Linked DNA regions of Medicago truncatula. The protein of the gene in region 1 interacts with the protein of each later gene in a biochemical or structural test. Links are inferred from orthologs where the notes say so. Each region holds a gene or a part of one and is shown in the gene's direction. Other genes may lie near its edges. The genes, in order: protein NAP1 and protein PIR.

The links.
Region 2: the proteins of protein NAP1 (region 1) and protein PIR form a complex in vitro, tested with the Arabidopsis thaliana proteins (2 studies listed by BioGRID). The link is inferred for Medicago truncatula from reciprocal best matches to the Arabidopsis thaliana genes GRL and PIR121.

The regions. Positions count from the first base shown.
Region 1 is NC_053045.1:40,728,501-40,740,956, forward strand, and holds the start of protein NAP1, read left to right. Parts: upstream 1-7,555; 5' UTR 7,556-7,837; intron 7,838-8,501; 5' UTR 8,502-8,527; coding exon 8,528-8,953; intron 8,954-9,041; coding exon 9,042-9,116; intron 9,117-10,591; coding exon 10,592-10,672; intron 10,673-11,242; exon of another isoform or gene 11,243-11,252; coding exon 11,253-11,333; intron 11,334-11,457; coding exon 11,458-11,540; intron 11,541-12,456. Other genes in the region: chaperonin 60 subunit alpha 2, chloroplastic, read left to right, coding at 658-858, 2,002-2,289. UniProt on the Arabidopsis thaliana protein: Involved in regulation of actin and microtubule organization. Part of a WAVE complex that activates the Arp2/3 complex.
Region 2 is NC_053048.1:55,154,207-55,166,825, reverse strand, and holds the start of protein PIR, read left to right. Parts: upstream 1-7,356; 5' UTR 7,357-7,539; coding exon 7,540-7,593; intron 7,594-8,353; coding exon 8,354-8,426; intron 8,427-8,594; coding exon 8,595-8,659; intron 8,660-8,741; coding exon 8,742-8,819; intron 8,820-9,854; coding exon 9,855-9,974; intron 9,975-10,088; coding exon 10,089-10,159; intron 10,160-10,237; coding exon 10,238-10,330; intron 10,331-11,171; coding exon 11,172-11,241; intron 11,242-11,398; coding exon 11,399-11,463; intron 11,464-12,030; coding exon 12,031-12,226; intron 12,227-12,378; coding exon 12,379-12,530; intron 12,531-12,619. UniProt on the Arabidopsis thaliana protein: Involved in regulation of actin and microtubule organization. Part of a WAVE complex that activates the ARP2/3 complex. Interacts with the active form of RHO-family GTPases.

The DNA.
Region 1 (12,456 bases):
AAGTAGCTCATTGTGTTTTTTTTTCTTTCTAAAATAAGCAAGTCATTGTATTAAATGGAACTGGAAGGATCTTCCTCAATTCCATTTATTTTTTACATTCATAATGGAGGAATTTGGAAGTGTTTATTAGCTTATTTGGACGTATCTTATGAAGTAAGCACTTGTGAAGTACTTGAAAGAGCTTATGAATATAAATTATAAGTTATGATATAACAATAGGTTGTTGTCAACTTATTTTATTTAATAAACTCCCCAAGACGGCTTATGAAAACGACCCATAAGCTGTTCCCTCTTTGTTTCCCATCAACCCAAGATTCAATTTTTAAGTGAAAAAAATATGTTGAGAATGCAGGTAGCTTTTAACTTGCATATCCAAAAGCAAATAGATTACTAAATTTAAGTGCTTTGTGGCATAACTTCTCACATAGTTTTTTTTGAACAAAACTTTTCACATAGTTAATGCTCTCAATTAATTTTTTTTTTTTCTTTTCAAATGTCTCGATTGCAAATTGTTGTGAAGAAACAATGGTCTGTCATCTTAAATTTTGCTCAGAATATGTTACTTTCAAATTTTTTTTTTTTTTGAAGAAAGTTACTTTCAAATTATTATTTTTGTTTAGTGTTGGATACTGCATGATGCATTTACCAATTGCGTAGGTAGGTGCACACACTGAGCTAGAACTTGAGGATAGAAAACTGAGGATTGAGGATGCTAAGAATGCTACTTTTGCTGCCATAAATGAGGGACTTGTTCCTGGAGGGGGTGCCACATATGTCCACCTTTTGGACTTGATACCTGCCATAAAGAACTCCATGGAAGATCTAGATGAGCAAATTGGTGCTGATATTGTGGCGAAGGTATGAATACAAATTTCAGTCTTTTGTTAAAAAAAAAAACAAATTTCAGTCTTTTGTTAAAAAAAAAAACAAATTTCAGTCTGCTAGCTCTATTTCACCTCTCCGAGTCTGAATATTTTTTCTTTTATGAAGTTGAACTTGTAGTGAATTTTCTACGATTATTTCCATGTATTATATTGCCTTTTCTTTCCATGAAAAAATTGGGAGAGTTTTGACTTGTGAAATTTGCATATTTTGCGAGGTCATTGAGTTTTCTCTTTTAAATTGTTGTTTGATTCCTTCTTCAAAAAAAAAAATTATTGTTTGATTCTAATTGAAGAAAAAACATTTGCTTCGCAAATCATACCTCATTTATTTATGGTGGAACATTCTCTTTTCTAAAACATATGCTTGAGCTATACAGTGTGTGTATTTAAGATTTTAACCATGGTTTCTTACATTTTGACTGTACTTCATTGAATGGATCTTACTTTGCTATTTCTTTGGAACATATGTTTGGATTTTATGAATATTTATTTGCAATGATAATGCAAAATGAAAATACTAACGCTTGAGTAGGGGATTATCTGTCATTCCTCAACCCATCTGCAGTTGTTCAGTCTTTTCTGTTTTTACTTTTAGCAGTATTCTCCCCTTGCTATTTTAGGGAATAAGCCTTATTCTTCTTGTTGATTGTATTTTATTTGTTCTTTAATTGATTGATATGATTCAGTTCCTTAGATAGAATAGATTCACACTTTGAGTGCGCACACGCTTTTTGTATCATCAAATGATATTTGATCCGAAATTCAACTGATTCATACCCTGGAATATAAATTCAGTTTGGCATAGAAGAATTATCTCAAGTTTCAATGATTCATACCCTGCGCGTTTGCATCTTTCTAGTTTGCTTAGAGTTACCATATAGCATTACCCTGTCCCTTAGGAGAGAGAAATGATCAACATTTATTGAGCTGAGATATTTGTTAGGATATTTATTTTTAAATTTTATTAATTTTAGTTTCTGGTAAAAATGTTTTGAAATTTCTCAGCTATTTTCCCCTCCTTTTCTTGTAGGATTGAGACTAACTTTGTGAAAGGTATTTATTTATGAACTTGTCTACTTTTGCATATCTGTAAGCAGTTGTGCATGAATCATTGCAGGCACTTGTCGAACCTGCTAAATCAATTGCAGCTAATGCTGGAGTTGATGGAGATGTTGTTGTCGAGAAGACTAGAACATTTGACTGGAGAATCGGATACAATGCCATGACTGGCACATATGAAGATCTTTTGAATGCTGGAGTAGCAGATCCTAGTCGAGTTGCAAGATGTGCTCTTCAAAGTGCAGTCTCCATTGCTGGCGTGGTTCTAACTACTCAAGCTATATTGGTTGATAAAGTAAAAAAACCCAAGCCACGTGTACCCCTGGTCCCTGGTATAACTCCCTAAAATAGAGAAAACAATTACAGTTTTGAAAACAGAGTAGGACTTATTTGATAATGAATGTCCATTGGGTTGATTAGTACTTGGGCAGCAACAAGAATGCTCTTACGAATGGAAAAGTCACGGTTGCTGTTTCTTACTCTTGGGGTATGATGAAACCCATGTATTACAAAGCATAGGAACAATTAGGAACCTATATCTGATATTGTCAATAATAAACTCCAATTTGGATGTTTAAGTGTGTCAGTGTCATGGAATTTGCTCTCTTTTTTGTCTAAGCCAGCCGCTAATATCTCGAGGTATTGAAATCTATTGAAGGATTTAACATCTCCCAATGGTTGCTGGTCTACACACACACCGGTCTATCCTTTTCCTCGAGGCCATGACATATGCTTATATAGGTATTTTTGACTCTTTGCTAAACTCTGCTTCAAAATCAGGAAAAGTTATCTTTTTCTTAGATGCATGGTCTAATTGATCAAATCTAAATGATAAATTTATAAAAGTCAAGTACAAATATGTTAAATTCACCACACAACTTGGAATTTTTGCTTTGTCAAAACCATGTGATGGATTTGTCAAAATTTTAATCTGGCCCATTTGGATGACTTGTAAGTCTTGAAATATTAATCAATTTTCTGTACTTTCATTTTATTGGATGAGTAGGTACACTTGCAACAATATTACTTTAAGAAGGCTCTCCTACTACGCTGACTTGTGTCTTCATTTTCCAGTTAAGGAGAGTATATTATTCCAGATTATAGAAACTGTAATGTTTGGCAGAGTAATTGAGTAGCAGCACCTGCTTCTTCCTTTACTTATGATGTCGTATGTCTCTCTAACAAGCCCCACTGTTTCTAATCTCCTCTATTTAATTAATCATTTTTACATAAAAAAACATACTCATTTCAGAAACACGTTTTAGTTAATTAATCTTATTTCTGATTGAGACACTGGCTCATTCGCCCCAACATGAGTAGCAATTTATATATGTCCAAGGACAGCATATAGTTTCAATTTTCAACATGCGTTAATTGCTTCTTTTTTGTGTGTGAATAATTGCTTGCTTCTCTCGTAATTGTATTTATGTTATAAATTAGCTATGGTCTTGAATTTGTTAGAATGTAATGTGCTACGTGCTAGCTATGGTTGATCAACTGCTACCTTTCTTTATTTTAGTGGTTCAATTAAGGAGAATTTAAACCGTTTCAAGTAATATATTACTATAAAAACAAGTAGGTATTGAAGCTTTCAGAGTCCAGACACTGACTTCCTTCCTTTTCCATTCAAGAGTCTTTACCTGAACAAACTTTTATCTCTTTTTACCGACCAAACTGTTTATCGGGGGAAAGTTTTGTAAAAAGTCAGTTCTTAATATTTATTTATGAACACTAACTTTCTTTTTACTGAAATATTTTTAAACAGTTATTTGTTGAAGGTTTCCCAATCCCTACTATATATATTTTCAAACAGTAAGTGGTTAATATTTTATTCATGAATACCACTTGAAACATAAATAACTGGTTTTTAAACTTGAACTAACAGAATGCATGTGAGCATGTCTTGATATTGAAAATTAATTCTTAAAGATATCAGTACCTTCGTAAAATTCAGTACCATAAAAAATAAGTATTTTATTTTTGCAACCCTGTGAGATGTAAACAAATTATTTTACAGAGTTGTCTTGGTTAATCACAATAAGATAAGATAACTTTTGGTAAAATCATTTTTCTGATTCTATGCTTTCAAACCAATAATTTGTAATAATGACAGTGTGATTTGAAATCCACTCTTAAGATTTGATTAAAATCTACTTTCACAGGATATATGATAGTGTTTAATTTAATCTAACGTCTAAACTTATTATTTTCATCTACAAGTGTAATGACTTTTCTAAAATGGATTCAACATAAAAATAATCCTTATATTTGTACGTTCATAATTCTCAAACTGTCATTCAACGGGAAGAGATTCTCTCAATTTTTTCTTTTCATGTTTCCTCATATTTCTTGATCTTCACATTTGAAATTCACTTTAATTTTTTTAAAATCTCTTTATCTCTCTTTTGCAATGAATGATAAAGATTTCAATGGACCATCATATCACACGAGAGGGGTGATTCCCCTCTTTATTTATATCCCTCTTACAGTTTTAAATGAGTTATCAGCGCACACAAATATTTTTTCATATAAAAATATAAAGGAAGGTAATATATTAAACTTCTAAAACCCCAACTCACACTTGGAAAAGTGAACATTTGATGTATATACTTGCAAACAACAGAAAGATATACACTATTAATTAACTTGACAATATGAAATGAAATGATGGTGGCTTAATGTGTAAGTGAAGTATGTTAATAGAGAAAGAAATGCTTCAAAGATACAGCACTTGGCTTCAAAGTATCAATATTTCCATTCACACTAATCGCCACTATATCTTCCCCGTAGGCACTTACTATAGCTAGGGAGGACCAAATGATTCATATGTGTTAAAAATACACTGTTTTGTGACCCTACATCATTATTGTTGTTCTGCAAATGCTTTAGTTCCTCACCAACTGCACCTTGGCATTTACTACTTATCAAGATATTGCCGTAGCATTCAGTCACATATGAGCATAATGAAACAAAAAGTTGGTTAATTTGTATATTTGTTAGTTAGATATTTTTAGTTAAATAGTACAATGACCCACCAATACTCTACTCCATATATGTATACCTCGTACAGTGAATGCCACTGGATGCGGTGGCGTGGTTATTAATCAGTAATCACTTTTTTAACCATCATTGGCCTCGTCGGTATGGAGGGATGCATTTTTGACGTATATGCAACATCATATAGTCTTTTATTAGGCATCCTAATTGTATAGCATATGAATTGGTATATATTGGAGATGTAAGTAATTAGGGGTCCCTTAAATGTGTGGTCATAGAATCCATTACAAGCTTGTTTTAATGAAAATTCATCTTTAAAATAGACAAATTTTTAATGTGTTTAAGAATTGAGAAACCAAAGCATTATTGTATGCACTTTGCCCACAAAGGATACATAAATGTATGCATGCATGCAACATCGTTTATCACTTCAATGTTACAAGTTACAACTACTATTTTTTTCAGATCATTTAGTGGTTATACTCACAAGGATAGAGAGAAATGAAAAATTTAGAGTTCAAAACGTGCTTAATATTCATGAAACTACCAATTGAACTACACTTACATGACATATCACTATAACTATCTCATAAACACATAATTAATACAGCATGTTTTATAAATATACCTTATCAGATTTAACATAGTTTTTTTTACAAAACATAGTTGGAACTTAAACAAATTACTAAGAAAAATCATAAATAGTTTTTTTTAAAGAAAAAATCGTAAATAATGAATAGTAAAAAAGTATCATAATGTCTAGAAATCATAGATCAACTGACAAATACCAAAATTGCAAGGTCGGACGTCGTGATCCGGGTTCGAACACGAGACCTCACAATTGTGTGAGTTTATTTTTAGTGGATTACCATTTAAGCCCAAAAAAAAAATATCATAATAAATGACTAACTATATATGTAACCATTAAAGAACACTAAATGAGTTTTAAGCAGAAGATCTAAAACCTGATCTCTGAAAATTAGTTTTAAGCAGAAGATCTAAACGAGTTTACTAAATTATAATATTTGTTTATTTGTCTTTTAAAAAATTGTTATGTCAAAGAAAAAAAAAACCATCAACAAACAAAAAATAGTGATCATATCTGATTATTCTATCACATTATCAGGTGAAAAACTCTCAATAAAGGGGGAATACCACATGTAAGATAATCTAACTCTAATTCTTTGATTAACAATTCTAATTCTATCCATTCTTAGATATGTTCTCATTAAAATACTTGGAGCGCTATAAATTGTTGGATAATTTTTTGGCCGCTTGTTATGCTCGACCTACAATTTTGGTCCCTTAATTTTTTTTCATTTTTTATTTTTCTTTATAATTTATCCCTCTATATTTTAAATTTCTCAATTTTATACATTGAGTTAAATTGTCATTTATTTTTTTTATCGTCTTTTTGTTTTTTTATTATGCTAACGTTTGAAAATTATTAACGGTGTTTTTTTTTATGAAATTTTAATTTTGATTAAAAGTAACAATATAAATGTTTTTTGCTTTTAAATTATAACAAATCAGATTAATCATGATCTAAATTTTTATTTTTTTTTAATGACACCAATAACAATATTTATTATAAAAAAAGTTGATGTTCAACGGTATAATTGGGATAATAAAAAAGTAAGTGTATATACACTCATCTAGTTTGTTACATTTTTTAAATGATAAAGGAAAAAATTATACATTTGTGTTTGTTTCACTTTTATTTTAATATTTAAATTTATTATTATCTATTTGTTACATGTGTTATTTGTCTTGAAAATTGAAGATATTTTTGGAAGGAAAAATCCAACCCAAAATGTTGGAAGAAATTGTTTTCTTTATATATAGTATAGATAATGACGTGTCAATCAAACTTTAAATTAGATAATATAACAAATGTAACTAACATGAATGCGTTGCTATAACCAACTAATCATCATATGTGTACATCCCCGTATGCGACATGTTAGCCTTATAATGCTCTGTTTAATTTGTACTCATAAGTTTATCTTAGTCGATATGGATAATGCGTAATATATGCAGGGTCCGGGGTTTGAATCCCTTGTTTATTGTTGTTATTATTATTATTACCATCTTTTGGTTAAATAAATTGGCGAAAATCCCACATATAATTATGTTTGGAGAAGTGAAAAAAGAAAATGTCTTATGTCTTGTTGCTAACTTGATGACTAGTTTTGGAAAGAATTCAAAGACTCAAGTCATTGAGATACTTTAACATGCCTCGTAAGCTTAACTCAGTTGATATGGACTATGGACAATGCATAATGTATACAAAGTTCAGAGTTCAAACCCTAACCATCACCAAAAAAGAGTTAAAAATCCTAATCACAATGCCTTAGCCAAAAAATAGTTTGATGTAATAAAAAATTGAGGATTCAAAACTCTTCCAACATATCAAATGTTTATGCGGATATCAGCTAAGTGGTACTTATAAGATACTTCTACTATTATTATAATTATTTTTTATCTTTGAGTAAAATTATAATAATAATGATTTTTTTAACAAAATTATTATTTGTTTATTTTTTAGAATACAGAAAAGCGTAGATATATAGTAGAAAAATGCAGAAAAGCACAGGAGTGAGCTGAAACAGACGCACGTCGTGTAGAAGTAAAACACAAGAAATAGGCGTGACAACTAACAAAATTGAAAATGTGAAAGTACAAAAACGGCTAATCTATCTTTAGTTGAATAAACCATCATTATCATTACAAACACAAAAAGCTCTAACAACAGTAACAATAATATCTGCGCTGAAAATTGCAGCTCCCTCCTCCATCCCGCACTTGCAGCATCAGCAGCAACATTTCACATTATAATTCATACTTCTTTCAACTAACTCTATTTCAGATCTGACTTTCATCTTTCTCTCTCCACTGTAATCTCTCTCTCTCTCTCTCTCTCTCTCTCTCTCTCTCGTGCAAATGTAGAATCTCTCTCTCTTTCAATTTTTACTTTGAATTTCAGATTTTGATCTTGATTCTCTGCAACGAAATGCTTTTTGCTTTTACTTTTTCTGCTCTTTTTACTTACTTAATCTGTATCTTTCTTTATTTATTGATGTTACACTTTCTGCTTTTGGTAATTCTCAAACTCAACTTCTCACCGCTTTAACAGCAACCTAGAAATGGAAATTTAGGTTTTACTTTTTTCATTTTTCCGTTTTTAGTAATTTGCTTTGCCTATAAATTACATAATTCATGCTTATAACTCAATAATTCTCTTTCCACAAGATCTTTTCTACTCATAAATCATACTCATGTTCAATCTTCGTTCATTTTTGTATATTTGGTGAGCATACATTATTGTAGATTTTTGTTGAAGATTTTAGGTTTGTAATTGTAATTCATATTATTGTATAGTTCCCAAGAGGCTTAATGATTTTAGGTTTCAATATTTTAGATTTTTGCTAATAAAATTGGAGGTATCCTTGATTATATGAAAACAATGGTACTGTAATGTGAGAGAGGGTAGGAGTTAGCTAAATTGGTGTTGCTGATTGATTGGTCTTGAACTTGTTTTCTGGAAAACTTGATGTGCAGAGCCAGAGACGGATTATTATTAGTTTATGGCGAAGTCGAGGCAAAAATCATCGAACCAGGATTCTTCATTATCGCCGACTGCGGCAAGATCAAGGGAATGGGATGGTCCATCTAGATGGGCAGACTACCTTGGAACAGAAACAAATACGGCTTCTCCATTGTCGTCAACCAGCTCCAGGAATTTCGGTCATGATGGGCAGTCTCAGGGTAGTACGCCGTCCCAACCTCATAAGGGTCTTAACATGCAGTGGGTTGTGCAGCTCACTGATGTTGCCGATGGTCTTATGGCTAAGATGTATAGGTTAAATCAGCTATTGGATTATCCGGACCCCATTAATCATGTATTTTCGGATGGATTTTGGAAAGCTGGTGTGTTTCCCAACCATCCTAGAATCTGTGTTTTGCTCTCCAAGAAATTTCCTGAACACTTCAGCAAGTTGCAACTAGAACGTGTAAGAAGTCATGTCTGATGTGCTTTTCGTTTTGAATGTTCGTTACAGTGCCTGTGATTTTTATTATTTGGGTAAAATATGGATGCAGATAGATAAGATTGCCTGGGATTCGATGCAAGATCATGCAGAACTTCATTTACAGAGCTTGGAACCATGGGTGCAGGTGCTGTTTTTATACTTTTATTTACTTACTATTTTCCATATGTTCCTACTCTTAAACCCCAAGCAATTAATTGAAGCTTTTCAGTTTTTTCATTTTGGCTGCATGCCCTCATGTTAGATATAAAATCATTCATGTGTTTTCCCCTAATAACTTATGATTTTGGTTGGTTTGTTCATGACATGGTACCAAAGGCTGTATGATCATACAGTATAGAGTTCAAACATTATTGCACTCATTCTGTCTTTTTTAAGGGTTGACACATTCTTCTTAATAAAAGTCAATGTTCGGAAAAAATTTGGGTGGCAATGCATTTCGGATATAAAACCATTCATTTGCATTTACTCAATAATTGAAGCTTTTTGTTTAGTTGATTCATGACACCTTATTTAACTTGATTGGTATATCAACACTGCCCAAACTCTACATGTCAATATCTTTCTTTACTCAATTTACTGCATGAGTAGATAGAATTATGAAAAGTTGAAATTGAATTCTAGTTTATTTATTTTTTTCATAGGAGGAAAGATTGGAAAGAGTGTAAGAGAAGGCTGAAGCTTGCACTGAATTCCAAAAGACTAAAACTTGTAGTTTAGATTTAAAACTGATACAACACAAGGTGACATAGAAACCTAGAATATAAACCCCGGGGAATTTTTCACTCAACTGAACCATTACACTGTTAAGCAATGCCTTTAAATAGACTGCCCTTGGATACAGCTAAAAACCCATCACCACTTATCCTGATAATTTCCCCCCTTCTGATAGTTGGTTTATGATATAATAAGATAGAAAAGACAAAAGTACTGCCAAATGCTAACAACTATACCTGTTCTTTATTTGAAGATTGTAAAGTAATCCTAATTTTGTACTAATCCATTACTTCTTTAATAGTTATTTTGTAATTTTAATCCAAAAGGAAGTCCGAACAGGTGTAATACAAACAATGAACTTATCCCCCTATTTATATAATTGATAATCTAGGCTAAGGTACAAGTTTAGTACAATTGGCACGGGCTCAGTATATAACAATCACACCTTAATAATGCAATATAAATAATACTGTTTAGAATAGAATACCCTAATTCTAACTTTTAAGGTTTCTTGTACTGCAAGCAATGATTTGTAACTCCATGCTTTATGTACCAACACAATTTACTTAGTCATTCATGAAGAAAACAACAGTTGACTTATGAAAGTTTGGTTTCATTGCTTTGCATGTGTCATCAGTTAAATGTAACTTTAAAAAAAATTGTATTGTATGCTTCTCCTCTATCGGCTTTGGTTGACCATTGATCTTAACGAGATTGACTATAGGTTTGATTATCTTTGTAATTTACGACCTTGATCAATAGATGATCTCCATTGATATCATTTTATGTCACCTAAAATTGCCCATTTATGCATATCTTTTAGATTTTCAATTCAGCTGCATGTTGCCTGAACTCACATGATAATTATTCTTTTGTGTTTAACAGCTACTTCTTGACTTGATGGTGTTTCGCGAACAAGCACTGCGACTTATATTGGATCTAAGTAGTACAGTAATTACCTTGTTGGTGAGTCTCAATATTGTTGCTCTCCTATGATGTGAGTTGCTTTGATGTTACAAGGATCTTGGGAACTGGTTTGTAATTGTACATATACATACCACTATATGATATGAACCCATTTCTCTTTCTCCACTCAAGCCAAAGGTTCAGTGGCTTTTCATCACTGACAAACATCTGCCCTAATGAGGCAGAGAAGTGGGAGTCACATCAAATTTTCTTGAAAAATGATTCAAATCTTCTGAATGTTTCTGAACTACAAAGGTGTCGTCTCTATTATTATTGAAAATGTCTAGATTTTTTATGAAGCACATGTCAACCTGGTGTTGGTTTTTATTCCTCTTAATAATAATCCATTATTTTCTTTTACTTTTAACTGTTTTTTTCTTTCCTTTCTAAAAAGGAATGGCCCATGTCAAATATTGAATCAGAAATGGGATGTATTGAATTCTCTACCCCTTTTTAGCCCGTTCATCTGAAGTTCTTTACTTTAGTGAAATAGCTAATGGGTGTCCTCACATTTGAATAAACTAATAAATAATTACTTTATCTCTGCATATCTCAAATAACTAGGCACAGTGTTTTGCAGCCCCATCAGAATTCTCTTATACTACATGCATTTATGGACCTCTTCTGCTCATTTGTACGGGTCAACCTTTTCTCTGAGAAGGCAAGCTAACTTCCTCTTTTATTTTCTTAAATTTGTTCATTTTATGAATAAAATTCGGATTGAAATAACTGTTTCAACCAAATATAAATGAGCAGTAATTTGGAAACCATTATTTTCATAGCAGATGCCAAGAAAGATGTTGCTACAGACCTATAACCTTCTACATGCATTGTCAAGAAATGAGCGGGATTGCGATTTTTATCATCGGTAAGATGTTCCAATAACTTGTCTTAAATTGTTCCAGTTTCTGGTAAACAATAATTTATGGTATGCTTTTATACGCTCAAAGGCATAACATGTTGAATAATCTAGTTTTTTAAAGAAAAAATTATTCCTTTTCTTTTCGTCCAAAAAATGCTGAGGGGCATTTTGCTTGTGCAATTATGCCGACATGGACTTATGTTCCTGGAAGAGGATGGGTGAGAGACAGATAGAGATTCTAATTTACTATCAGTAATTGTTTTGGTGGGAGGGTAAGAGAGGAAAGGGAAAAGGTTATGATAAAATCTCTCTTTGTCTGGAAGCATTTTAAAACAAGGGGAAGAGTGTTGGAAATTCCGCCTTAACTGCGGTCCACCCCTAAGCCTTGTGTTGGCTGTGAGGGGGTGGATTTGGGTTGCCTTGTGTTGGCTTTGAGGGGGTGGATTTATACCCACATCGGAAGGCAATCCTCAAATTTCAACAGAGTTTGGGGAATATTTATTAACTCTTGAACATAACAAGGTATGAGCGTACAAAACATGAGTGACAGAGCATATAAGAACGACTTGATATAGAGAGAAACCTGGGTTTTGGTAAGCTATGATAAACAGATACAATCTACACTAAATAATAAGTCAACAAAATGTACTTTAACCTCTGTAGAATGTCATCGGTAGAGAGCTGGCTCAAATTTCTTTCTTGAATAGATGTTCAATTGCAGCAATATATTAGTTGAAGTGCTTAATGTGGAGAAAGTAGATAGATAACAACTTCTCTACAGAAACATGGTTAGGAGGAGGGAAAATTGATGTTGGAATGAGAGAATCAGGGTTATAGTTTTAGATATCTATTAATTCAGGTATGAAAATATAGTATATGACAATTTCATACAAAATCTTAGGTGCTATTTATATTAGTTTAT
Region 2 (12,619 bases), on another chromosome or scaffold:
TCACTCACTCACCGTTCATTCTTTTTTCTCTCTTTTGACTCTCAATTAATTCTCTAATTCTAATTAAATCACTAACAGACAAACAAACAATAACACAACACTTTTTGAATCTCCGTATGTGTTGTGTGTGTCGAATCAGGTAGATAACGCGTAGCGTTAATATGTGTGTGTGTGTGTAAGAAGTAAGAACAGAAAAATTAAATAGGAAGGGTAAGGTAAATAAATAATGAGAACAAAAAATAAGGAACGTGGTTTTAAAGAGGAAAAAACATGGTTGACCCGACCCGACCCGACTCGGGTGAGGAATGAGTCCAAACTCACGGAAATGCAGCTTTGGCTGTTTCTACCGCCAAACAAACAAACAAGCAACCAGCAGACTTAATGTCAAAAACTTACATCAATTATACTAATTAAAAGGAAGAGATAACAAGTGCCCTCGTTAAGAAGATTATAGTGAAAAATGTAGTAGTCAACACACCCTTGGGCACCACTTGTCACATACTTAGATCATATGTATTAAAGGTTTTTGCAACATAGTTTAGATCTATGAAGTCCGGATACGTAGTACGGATACAGGTACGATACGATACGGGTACGTAGATACGCGAAAATTTTAAAATTCGGAAACGATACGGCTAAGATACATTAACAAAATATTTATACTAAAATTTATATGCATGTAAAATACTTAAAAAAACATTGATTAATCTTCAATACTATATAATCATAAAATTCACAATTTACAAAAAATAATATATGTGATCAAAATAAAAAATGTAAAGTTTTCGTATAAATCATATTATATTTTCGTTCATATGTTAGGTTAGCTCCTCTCTCTCGTTATTTTCATCCACCAAAAACATAATTTTTAATTGGTTATCGAAAAATAATTATAGTGATTCATATCTTAAATTGAATCATATACATCTCCATTAAATTTTCAGAACACAGTCTCATTTATTTAAGCTTCATTTTTTTCCAGGATACGTCTCTGTGAAGTATCTTATAAGTATTTGTGTGTATCTGTCGAGTATCTTATAAGTATCCGATAAAATATATATTTTAAATTAAAATAATTAATTCCGATATTTCGTAGGTACGTATCCGAGAGTATCCGTGGATTATCGATATCCGATACGGGTGCGTCTCCATTTTAGAGTATATGGGCTTCATACTTTAGATTGATTTTAAAACGAAAACTCATTCGATTAAAAGTTAAGTTTTGGAGGACTATTTTAAAAGTCTAATCCAATACGATCAAATTTAATGTAGTTTAATTGGATTGAATTTTAAATGTTCAAATTATATTTTTTATTAATATCATAAATTTACAGTAAAATAATAAGTTTGATTTAAAATATGACATAAGATATATTAAAAATTAATATTACGGAATAAAAATGATCAAATATGTTTGAAACATATAAAATAATGAGGACAATGCATTATTTTATGCATGGGCTGAGGTTCGAACCCCAATCATCCCACTTATTCACCTGCCACTAAGCTACCTGATTAAAAAGAAAAAAAGTAAACAATGAAATATATATAAAAAAAAAAAAAAAGAAATGTTGACAGGGGCACTAGTTAATGCTTTTAAATAGTAATTTATCATAAAAATATGTGTAATCAATGCATCGAAAATCAAAATATTTGACTTTTTTATAAAATAATTTCTTCTTTTGGAATCCTCCTTAAAAAGTGTCATCGGAGCACTCGTTAACAATACCCTAAAAAAAATTATAAATCAGTATGGACATAATTTCCAAAATAGCAAAATACGGTCTATAAAATATGATAGTATAAAAAAGAAAAAGGTTACGATTACATAACAAAAAAAAACTAACACTGCATTTTTTTAAAACTCACTTTCAGATTAAAGTTAACGATGGAAAAAAAAACTAAAATGTCACAAACAAAATTAACTAAATTGACAGAAGGGTATAATAGGAAAACAATAGGATATTAGTGCTCTCTTGGGTTTCTTCTCAGTTTGGGGGAGAAAGAAACTTGTGTGGGACCCATACTCCTTCGGTCACTATTATAAATAAAAATTGACATTTTAGATTTATATTTGATTCATCAAATGATGTATATGATTTAATGATTTATAGTAAAGACTAGAGCTGTCAAAACGGGCCGGGCCGTATGGGCAGACTCGTTTAGCCCGAATAAATATAGGGCTTGGGCCTAAAATATTGAGCCCGAATTTTAATAGGGCTTTTTAGCCCGGTACCCGTTTGGGATAGCCCGAACGGGCCGCAGGTAACCCATTAGTCCGCATAACAAAAAAAATCCTATAAGATGATATTGTTTTTCTTTTAAAATTTATTATCTCTTTCTTCTCCCTTCTGTCTCTGTTTCTCCCCTCCCCCTTCCCATTCTCTCATTTCTCTCTCTCTCTCTCTCTCTCTCTCTCTCTCTCTCTCATCCCCCCTCTCTCCCTCTCTCTTTCTCATAAAAAATTAAAAAATTGTATTGAGAATATTACCGAGTTTACGTTTTTAGGTACCAAAATCGTGTTAACTCTGAGGTAAACTCAGTTTCTGGTAAAATTAGAAGGTTTGACGAGTTTGACTGAGTTAACACTCGATAAATTCGTGTAAACTCGACCGATTTGTAAGGGCTGACACAATATATATTTCTGAAAGATTTGTAAGTGCTGGCATAATTTTAAATATGTACAATTGAATTTTGTGGGAATAACATTTTTAACAAATAAAAAATGTGTATTGAGAATAATGTGTTAGAGTGTTTTTTAATCCCTTAAAATCTTATAAAATTCTTAAAATTTTAATAGTAAAAGAATTTTTTATTGATTTTATTTTTCTTTATTCAAACGCTAGAATTTAATTATTCATTATTTTTATCATTCACGCTTGCAAGTTTGTTCTTTTTTTTCCCAAAAATTCATTGAATTCTTTGAAATTTTAAAATTCCATAAAATCCTTGAAAGTCAGTGTGATAAATCATTTAAAATCTTGAGTGTATGAAGTCTTTTACATAAAAAGTCTTTTAAAATCTCACAGAATCAATACAATCTCACACAATATTTTAAAATCTTGAAGATTTTTTTTATTAAAATAGTCTTTTAAAATCCTAATCCAATATACCCCCTAAGAATTGTGTTGCTTGTAAAAATTTAAAACTTCCCGTTTCATGAAGAAAAGAAACTAGTAAACCAAAATAAAAAACAACGAAGATTGAAAATGGCCCTAGAAAGAGTGCTTAGACATGAAATTATCTTAAGCAAATTTGATAAAATGGTGTGATAACTGTGTTATGAATCATAATTCTTCAAAATTAAGATAATCAATTAAAAGAGAAAATCAAATAAATATTTGCAAGAAAAATAAACAAAAACAATGGACCTTGTTGTTCATGGATATTCCCATGGGTGGTTTCAGTGTGAGAATAGAAAAGGAGCATGAAGAGGCTGGGTGGTAAATATATAGAGGGATAATCTAATATATGTAATGTAGAATAGGATATGTGGACTTGATTAATCTAATGATCTTAATTGTTGTTTATAGTGATGCATCGGTGAGGGATTTGATAGAGCCATCACCTTAGAATTCACCTTTTTTTTTTCCCTAAATATCACATTTGTTACAATTTTGGTCCCAAATTATAATTTTTACTCCTAAGATGGTGATTTCTGACCCAAAAATGGTGATTTGTTTCCCAATTATAATTTTGAAGAGAAAATACCACTTTATAATGCTAAAAATCACCATTTAATTTATAATGTTTCTATATGTTATTCACCGACTCATAAATCAACTTTAAGTCTATTCAACTTTAAGACTATAAATTTTTAGTACGACTTAAAGTGAGATTCGGTTACCTTCTATTAATTTATAATGATACTCCCTCTGTTTTTTAATATAAGCAAAATTGATTTTTTATGTTCATTTATTTAATGATGTATGTGGTTCATAATATGGACAACATATATCATTAAATGAATGAATCTAAAAAGTAAAATTTGCTTATATTTAAATACGGAGGGAGTATGATATTTTGTTAGATGTGATGTGAGAAACGAGAAACCATTTGCCCTTTAGCATTTTTCCTCATTTTCCAAATTAAATGTAGTAAAATCAAATCAAATCCTTTTAATTGTAGCAATGAGGTAAAATGTAAAAAGGGAAATGTGTTCTTAGAGAGGTAAAAAAAATCTCATTTGTTTCTTTTATAGAATTTCTAGTGCATTATGCTTAAAGTTAACTTAAGATCGGTGAATAAAATATAGAATATCAATTGATAAGATATTGACATATTTCCCTTAAAAAAAGATATTGACATATTATTTCAATAAAATGCTATTCAAAAATCATTTTCAAACTATTTTTCAAATTTAGAAGTAAAAGAAATACGTCGATAGTTCCAAGTTTCCAAATTAAAGAATTATATGACAATTGAATAAAAAGATTTGCTACTTTAAGTTTCTTGATTTATATCGGTCACAACCTCGTCAATAAAATCATTGTTATTATATAACTATAAATGTTCAAAGTTCAAAAAGTTCAAAGATCTTACGACTATACTCCTCTCTCTCACACACATTTATTTAAGAAAATATAATCTTTATTGTTTGCCTTATATAATGACATTTAATTTGAGAATGAAATAAAACAATATCGAGAGTTTCTAAATAAGTTAAAAGAGATTGTCATGATATTAGTTGTAACATGAGAATTTTCAAATGGGAAAAAGTCACTGGTTCAACTCGGTGTGTTTGGTATGGCGGTTGCGAAAATTAATTTTGATAGAATTGAGTTTGAGAGAATTGATTTTTGTTAAAAGTGGGTTTGAGGAGAATTGATTATGTTTGGATAAACTTGTTTAAAAGTGATTTTTATAAGTTGATGTTGTTTGGATAGTTTGAATCAAAATTGATTTTGAATGTGTAATGACCTAGTTATCCTTGTAATTGATTTTTTTTAAAGCACCCTTTTAAATTTTAATTGTCATAACTGGATTATTATTGTTTCAAAAATTCAATTTTAAAATAATTATAAGAGTTATAATTAATATATATTTACCATTTTAGGTAACAATTTAAAATTAATTTTAAAATATTACTAAAATGGGTTGTAATTATTATTATTATAACTAATAAATTCCCTAAGAAAACTCATTAATAAGTTTCAACTCTTTTGTTTTAAAATTGACATTTTTATGAAAAAGTAAATAAAAAGGATTGAGTCTTTATCCATTAGCCCACTATCCATTGTCTTCTCAAATCAAATAAAAGAATCAAACTCCATAAAAGCACCGAGTAAGAAAAACGAGAGGTTCAAGAATGCTGAGCAACTAAAGAATATTCATTGGTCTGAAATGTAGAAAAAAAAATCTGTATAAATCATCACTGTAATGAAACGAAAATCTTATTTGTCCTTACAATTGAGAAATTGAGAAATTAAACAATATCAATGTGGCTTGTGCTGTTGAAAGGAACACGGTAATAGAAAACAAGTCATGGGTAATTAGGGAATTTCCAATTTGTCACCATAAATTAAATTCCAAACTGGCGTTGAGTTGCCGCAAAAGCTTCATTTTCTAGCTTTTCATAAACGGGCGTTGGGGGCTAGAACCACGTTTGGTAGAATCCCGTTTGCAGTTATCCAAACACCTAAGAAAATGTTGAAACCACGTTTCAGCTTTTAAACCGCCGTTTGAGATGGGAAAACGCTATGCCAAACAGGTACTCAATCTATTTGTTGGATGATATTGAGAAATATGTGCTTACCATATGAGTTTTGACCAAGTATGGTTCAAGTTTGTGAAAAAAATTGTGAAAGTAAGGGTGGAACCACCAATATGTATGACGGAAAAAGATTCAGCTTCTATGAGCTTTAGTGTTTTGAATGACTATCTTTTGTGTTTCTGCAAAAGGGAAGACTTATAACCATGACTTGAGCCTTTCTAATTGAAAGTACATGAGCATTGAGGAAATACGTTGACATGGATTTACATATCGAGATTACGTTCATGCTTTTCAATTTAGTCAAACTCAAGCCAAAACCATAAGCCTTAATTTTTGTGGAAAACACTAAAAAGATCATCGTTCGAGACACTTTTTATCACACTCATTGTTTTCACCCTTACTTTCACAACCCTTCTTTTCCACAAACTTGGTTCACACTTGGTCAAAACCCATATTGAACACACGCTCCTAAATCTAACCACACAAAAAGATTAAGTTGAACTCGCGACTTTTCCCATCTAATAATTTGCATGTTACAACTGATATCATGAGAATCTCTTCTAACTTTTTTAGGCATGCTCGATTTTGTTGTTATTTCATCAAAATTTAATATCATAATATAAGGTCTAAAATAAGGATTGTCATTTCAAAGAAAGAAAAATAAATAATCTAAGATAAAATGAACAGTTACATTGAGAAACACAAGCATGTCAAATTTTAAACTCCTATTACAAGTAAAAAAAATCTCCAATGATTTTCCTTCAAACGAACACCTTTCTTTAGCGTATATAAAATTTGACATTCCAAGAACGAAGATCAAAACTCGTTAGAGTTATCATAGAAAAGAAACACCATGCTATTATCCTTGTCATCACATTCAAGAACACCTTTAAGATCTACATCAACACTCATATGCAGTTGCTCTAGATTGGGATGGACAATCAATTTTGTGTTGCTAATAAACAACAGACTTTATTGTAACTAGTTGTAGAACGAAAAAATAAATATTCAAGTATAGGTTGAAGACAAAATCTTACTTAATTTAGCAAAGAATTTTAGAGTATCTTTAAAAACACTTAAATAATATTTTTTTTTAGGTAATTGGTATAATTGAGCAATATTGTTATTTTATCTTTGAAAAAAAATCTAGTTGAAGAAAGAAACTAGAATCACATTTTTATAATGCATTTTGAGCTTGTTTTAATGAAAAATATTTAACCTTTGAAAATCTTGAGAAGAACATCTTGGTAGACTCAATTTCTTTTTTTTTTAATATATCTTGGTAGACTCGAATTTGTAAATGACTTTTGCACGTGATAAAAACAATGATATATTTTCTTTCAAAAAAAAAAAATGATATCTTAAAAAATATTCATGAATAATTTTTGCTTTTGCAAAATAAATGAACACTCAAACAAAGAGCGAAGAATATTCATAAAAATTTTTGTACGGTAAAAGTAAGGATGTAAATCATGTACTAATATTTATTTTCTTGAAAACTTTGTTATTTTAGAATCATCATCATGTACTAATTATTTTAGCTTAGGTTCAAAGCAAATCAGGGAAGATTAGCTTAATACAAAAGAAATTTTAAAATCACCACCTTCCCTCATAGTAAGTAGCAGAAATGGAAAATAGAGCAAAGAAGGAGGGCATTATAGTCAACACAGAAGTTGTACCTGCTCAATCTTGCAAATGAAGACTCTACCAACTAGAGAGGGAAAGTGGAGAGAGAGAAACAAAGCAATTGTAGTTGATCTTTTTCTTCTTCTTCTTTCTATGCTTCGCACTTTCGTTTTCCTTCAATATTTCTAGAAGATTCTGTTATGGCAGTTCCCGTTGAAGAAGCCATTGCAGCTCTCTCCACATTCTCGCTCGAGGTATCCAATTTCTGCTACATTTTTCTCATTTCATTTGCTACCAAATTTCAAATGCGCTTTTGGATCGTTCCTTTTTCTTTGCAACGGTTTGGTCTGATTCGGTCAATTATTCCCTAAATTCGCGTTAATTCTAATTATGGAAATGTTTAGTAATCTAATTATTATTATTAAGTGTAAATTCATAGATTTGAAAGAACATTTGATTCAGTATTGACATAAGCATTTATGAGACTGTTTGGAAGAACTTACGAAAATAAGTTATGACATTTTCATAAACTATTTTCAGCTTATACTCATAAGCTCTCCAGGATAGATTATAAGAACAGCTTAAAAGGTTTAGCTTATTCTCATAATCTATTTCCTTAATTTGCGTTAATTCTAATCATAGAAATGTTTAGTAATCTAATAATCACTTAGGATTGCGTATTGGCATAAGCACTTATGAGACTGTTTGGAAGAACTTATGAAAATAAGTTATGAAATTTTCATAATCTATTTTCATAAGCTCTCCATGATAGATCATGAAAATAGCTTAAAGGTTATACTAAAACATTTTGACTTTATTTCATGTTTTATTACAAAACTAGCTGATACATAAGCGCTTATATGATAAGCACTTATGCTGTAAGCTGCAAAATAAGTTGTGTATCCAAACAGTCTGTATTTGCAAAATAACGCATTGCAGGAACTTGAAGTTCTTATTTCGGTATATGCAAGGTAATTTTTCATGTGATTTGTATTTTGTTCATTAATTATGTAGGATGAGCAACCAGAGGTGCAAGGACCTGGAGTGTGGGTATCAACTGAGAGAGGTGCAACAGAGAGTCCAATAGGTAACTTCCTATTCCATAGTTCAACTATTATTCTCCAGATATGCCGCTAATTTGAGATTGCGCTGTAAATTTACTTGAAAATAATGTCGGAGTCTTTTGAGTTTTGCTTGAAAGATGCAGAGTTATTGGTAATTGCTATCTAATGCCGTCTTTTTTTTTTTTGTGTAGAATATTGTGATGTTGCGGCATACAGACTATCTCTGTCAGAGGATACGAAAGCTCTCAATCAGCTGGTATGATGCTTGCTCTTGGGATATTTTTGTTGTTTAACCCGTCTGATGAAAATTTTGACTGCTTTTGCTATACAAAATGCAGAGTTCTCTTACCCAAGAGGGAAAGGAGATGGCATCGGTGCTTTACACATATCGTAGTTGTGTCAAAGCACTTCCTCAGGTAATATTTCTATCATCTATCGGTAGTTAAAGCCAGTCAATGGACATAAAATATGCTGTTTTACTGGTTAATGAGGAAATATTTTCAGAAGGGAAAGGGTTACTTTTAGACATGAAGTACATATTATATTGGCCAAATTACACTAGCAGTCCTTTTAAGTTGTGGTTTGTAACACATTGGTCCTTTTAGTTATTTTAGTTTCATATTCATCCTTTAACTCTTCAACCATTTGCACTATTATTCTTGTGTTGTTAATTGATGACATGGCAAGTACCCATCAGCAGAAAAGTAATTTATTATGGATTGTAAACATAATAAATGAAGAGAGAAGTTGAATTTTTATATTTTTTTAATATGGAGATTATAATTTTCTGGGTTTGATGATGAAAATGGAAGGAAGAAGATGAAGATTATGAAGAAGATGAAAGGAAGAGGATGAAGATGGATGAGTTTGCTGGATTTGAATAAAAAATTACTTTTTCTAGTGATGTGTACTTGCCATATCATCAACTAACCACCACAAGGATAAGAGTGCAAATTGTTGAAGAGTTAAAGGAAGAATATGAAATTAAAATAACTAAAAGGACCAATGTGTTACAAACCGAAAACTTAAAGGACTTCTAGTGTAATTTGGCCGATTATATTTGAATTTTCCTGGCACTAAATCTGAAGTTACCGCGATTGTATGCCAGTTTCACATGAAATGTCTACTTTGCATTTTGAAAAGGCAAATTTGTTGGATAGTCCATGCACAGAGTTCTAATGTCAAACCTATATTTTTGGGATAGTGAATGAAATCAAGTAGTTGAAGCTTCATAAGTAAATGATAGCTTTGCTTAATGCAAGTATGCAACATGATATCTTGCATGCATTCATTTTCAAAATAAATTTTTGGTCTATTGATATATTTGATAATATTAAAATGACCCTATCAGAAATACATTTTCATTCCCTTAAAAAAAAAGAAATCCATTTCATGTTTCCATATGTTTATAGATTCTCCTATAACTTGTGCATTTTGCCACAATGGGACAGCTTCCTGATTCTATGAAGCAAAGCCAAGCTGACTTATATTTGGAAACATACCAAGTTCTGGATTTGGAAATGAGTCGTTTGCGTGAAATTCAGCGATGGCAAGCATCGGCTTCCTCAAAAGTACGGGTTGTGTTTTACATATTGTATGATCCTCTTTTTTATTTTTCAGAAACTTAATTTGATTCAGACATTTAGCATGTTAAGTAAATTCATTCATGTCTTTTTTTTATGCAGTTAGCGACTGACATGCAACGTTTTTCTAGGCCTGAGCGGCGCATTAATGGGCCTACAATATCTCATCTTTGGTGTGTTATAATGCTTATTTTGTTGTTTTTGTCACTTTTATTTATTTATTTATTTAATAGCTTTATTCTTGACTCTAGGTCTATGTTGAAGTTGTTTGATGTTCTGGTGCAACTTGACCATCTTAAAAATGCCAAGGCAAGCATACCTAATGACTTTTCATGGTACAAAAGGTATGCATTTAGTTTCTGCCTATGTTACTTTATCTTCATGTAGCGGATCTTCAACTTTACTTTCAGGTTCTGTTTGTTATGTCTTTCTTTTGTTCCTTCTTTGAATCCTTTTATATTAATGCCGCTTTTAGGAGTCTGTTGTTTAACATGTAAATTAATGAGCAGAGATTTTCTCCATTTATCAATGTTGTTCCTGAATGTAACTTCTGTAGTACATTCGATCCAATGCTTTGTTGATTGGAACACCTACTTCAAATTGAGGCACTTTAGGGATCTAACTTTTTGCCTCACCTAAAATGTTAAATATTATATACTATAGGAATAACAAGCTAGTGTTGACTACGAGATTTTCAGACGAAAGTGTCTGATTGGGTACTATGTATGTGGTGACCAAAATGTCATTGAAGAAACTAAATGGGCATACAGTTGATAATATCACCTTCTTATAAAACTGCATGACCAAGAGTGCATGAGGGTTGCATGACATTCCTAGCTACTTTAGTTTGACATACAATATAAAAAGTATTAGGCATCCATATTCTCCAGTAAAGTTACACTGTTTTGTTAAATTCAGTTTCTGTCAGTTTTCTTTGTACTTTAAGATGATAGATTAATTCTGTGTTTGGTTTGAGAGAATGAAAATAAGGAAGACATAAACTTTGTTACACTGTTTTGTTAAATTCAGTTTCTTTCAGTTTTTCTCTGTATGATAAAAAATTAGTTCTGTGTCTGGTTTGAGAGATTGAAAATAAGGAAGACATAAATTTTGAATATTTTAAATTTTCTCATTTACTTAATGAAGTTTCTCATGCATTCATGTTGCTTCTCCCCACTTTGTCAGGACTTTCACACAAGTTAGTGGTCAGTGGCAAGATACTGATTCAATGAGGGAGGAATTAGACGATTTACAGGTGCATAATCATTGAAATTTCCCAGTGTTTGAAATTCAGAAATATGTACATTTATTATTTATTGTTTGATTTTCCATAATCTTCATTTACATTTTATTTTGATTGAAAATCCTGGCAAAAATGGATTATTGACCTTTCTTTATCATTGCATGTGCAGATTTTCTTGAGCACTAGATGGGCTATTTTGTTGAATTTGCATGTTGAGATGTTCCGTGTAAATAAGTATCCTGTATATCTACTTCACATTTTTTCCCTTTCCACAATCCACATGGCTACCATCATTTCCACTTTTCTGGTTTAATTGTAATTGTTTCTTTATTTATTATTTCTTCTTGGATAGAAGTTATCTTTGCTTAGGATGATCGTGGGAACTGATTCCATCTGACAGATAAAATGGTCTATTGGGAAGAAGATTTGAGTGCTAGTTTATGTTGAAATTTTAGTTTTGAGAAAGAGTGTAGGATATCAACGGACTTTCTCCTTAATGCATATATACTTTCATTCAAAAGAAACAAGCGGAGTTGGTTCGACACTCAGAGCTAGGAAATGAAGAAACTGATCTATTCATGTTTTCAATCTAAACCAAGTTGGAGGAAATCTAGCTGATTAGAATAATTTTTAATCTAAATTTTACTTCTTGGGTTTTGTCTTTGAATACTGTCTGTGCAAATAATCTTGTTGTTTTATCACACCGACTCAATTTTTACTTGTATGTGTATCACCATTTTTAACTTTAATTTTTGTATACCCCCTCTTCTATTTCTTATTCAATTCCTTGACTTGAATTAGTGTAGAAGACATTCTTCAAGTTCTTATAGTATTTGCTGTAGAGTCCTTGGAATTGGACTTTGCACTTCTCTTTCCGGAGCGCCACATTCTTTTGCGTGTTTTGCCTGTTCTTGTTGTCCTAGTGACATCTTCAGAAAAAGACAGCGAGTCTCTGTACAAGAGGGTAAAAATCAACAGACTGATCAATATATTTAAGGTACTGTTATATATATGCTTAATGATAAATTATAATTTATATCTACTGGGTTAAGAAAAGATGGTGCTATTGAATTACCTGAAGAACTTTACATTTCATGCACTGAATTCTTCTTTGTTGACTGGAAATTGAGATCTGTTTATCTTATACAGAACGAAGCAGTTATTCCTGCTTTTCCAGATTTGCATCTCTCTCCAGCTGCGATAATGAAGGAACTATCAACATATTTCCCAAAATTTTCTTCCCAAACTCGCCTTCTCACCCTTGCAGCACCTCACGAGCTTCCACCTCGTGAAGCACAAGAATATCCTCTAAATTGTTTTTTGTTTTAACTGAAAATTTGGTGCTAATATTTGGTATTATTGAGCCAATATTTCATTTCCTTGACCTTTG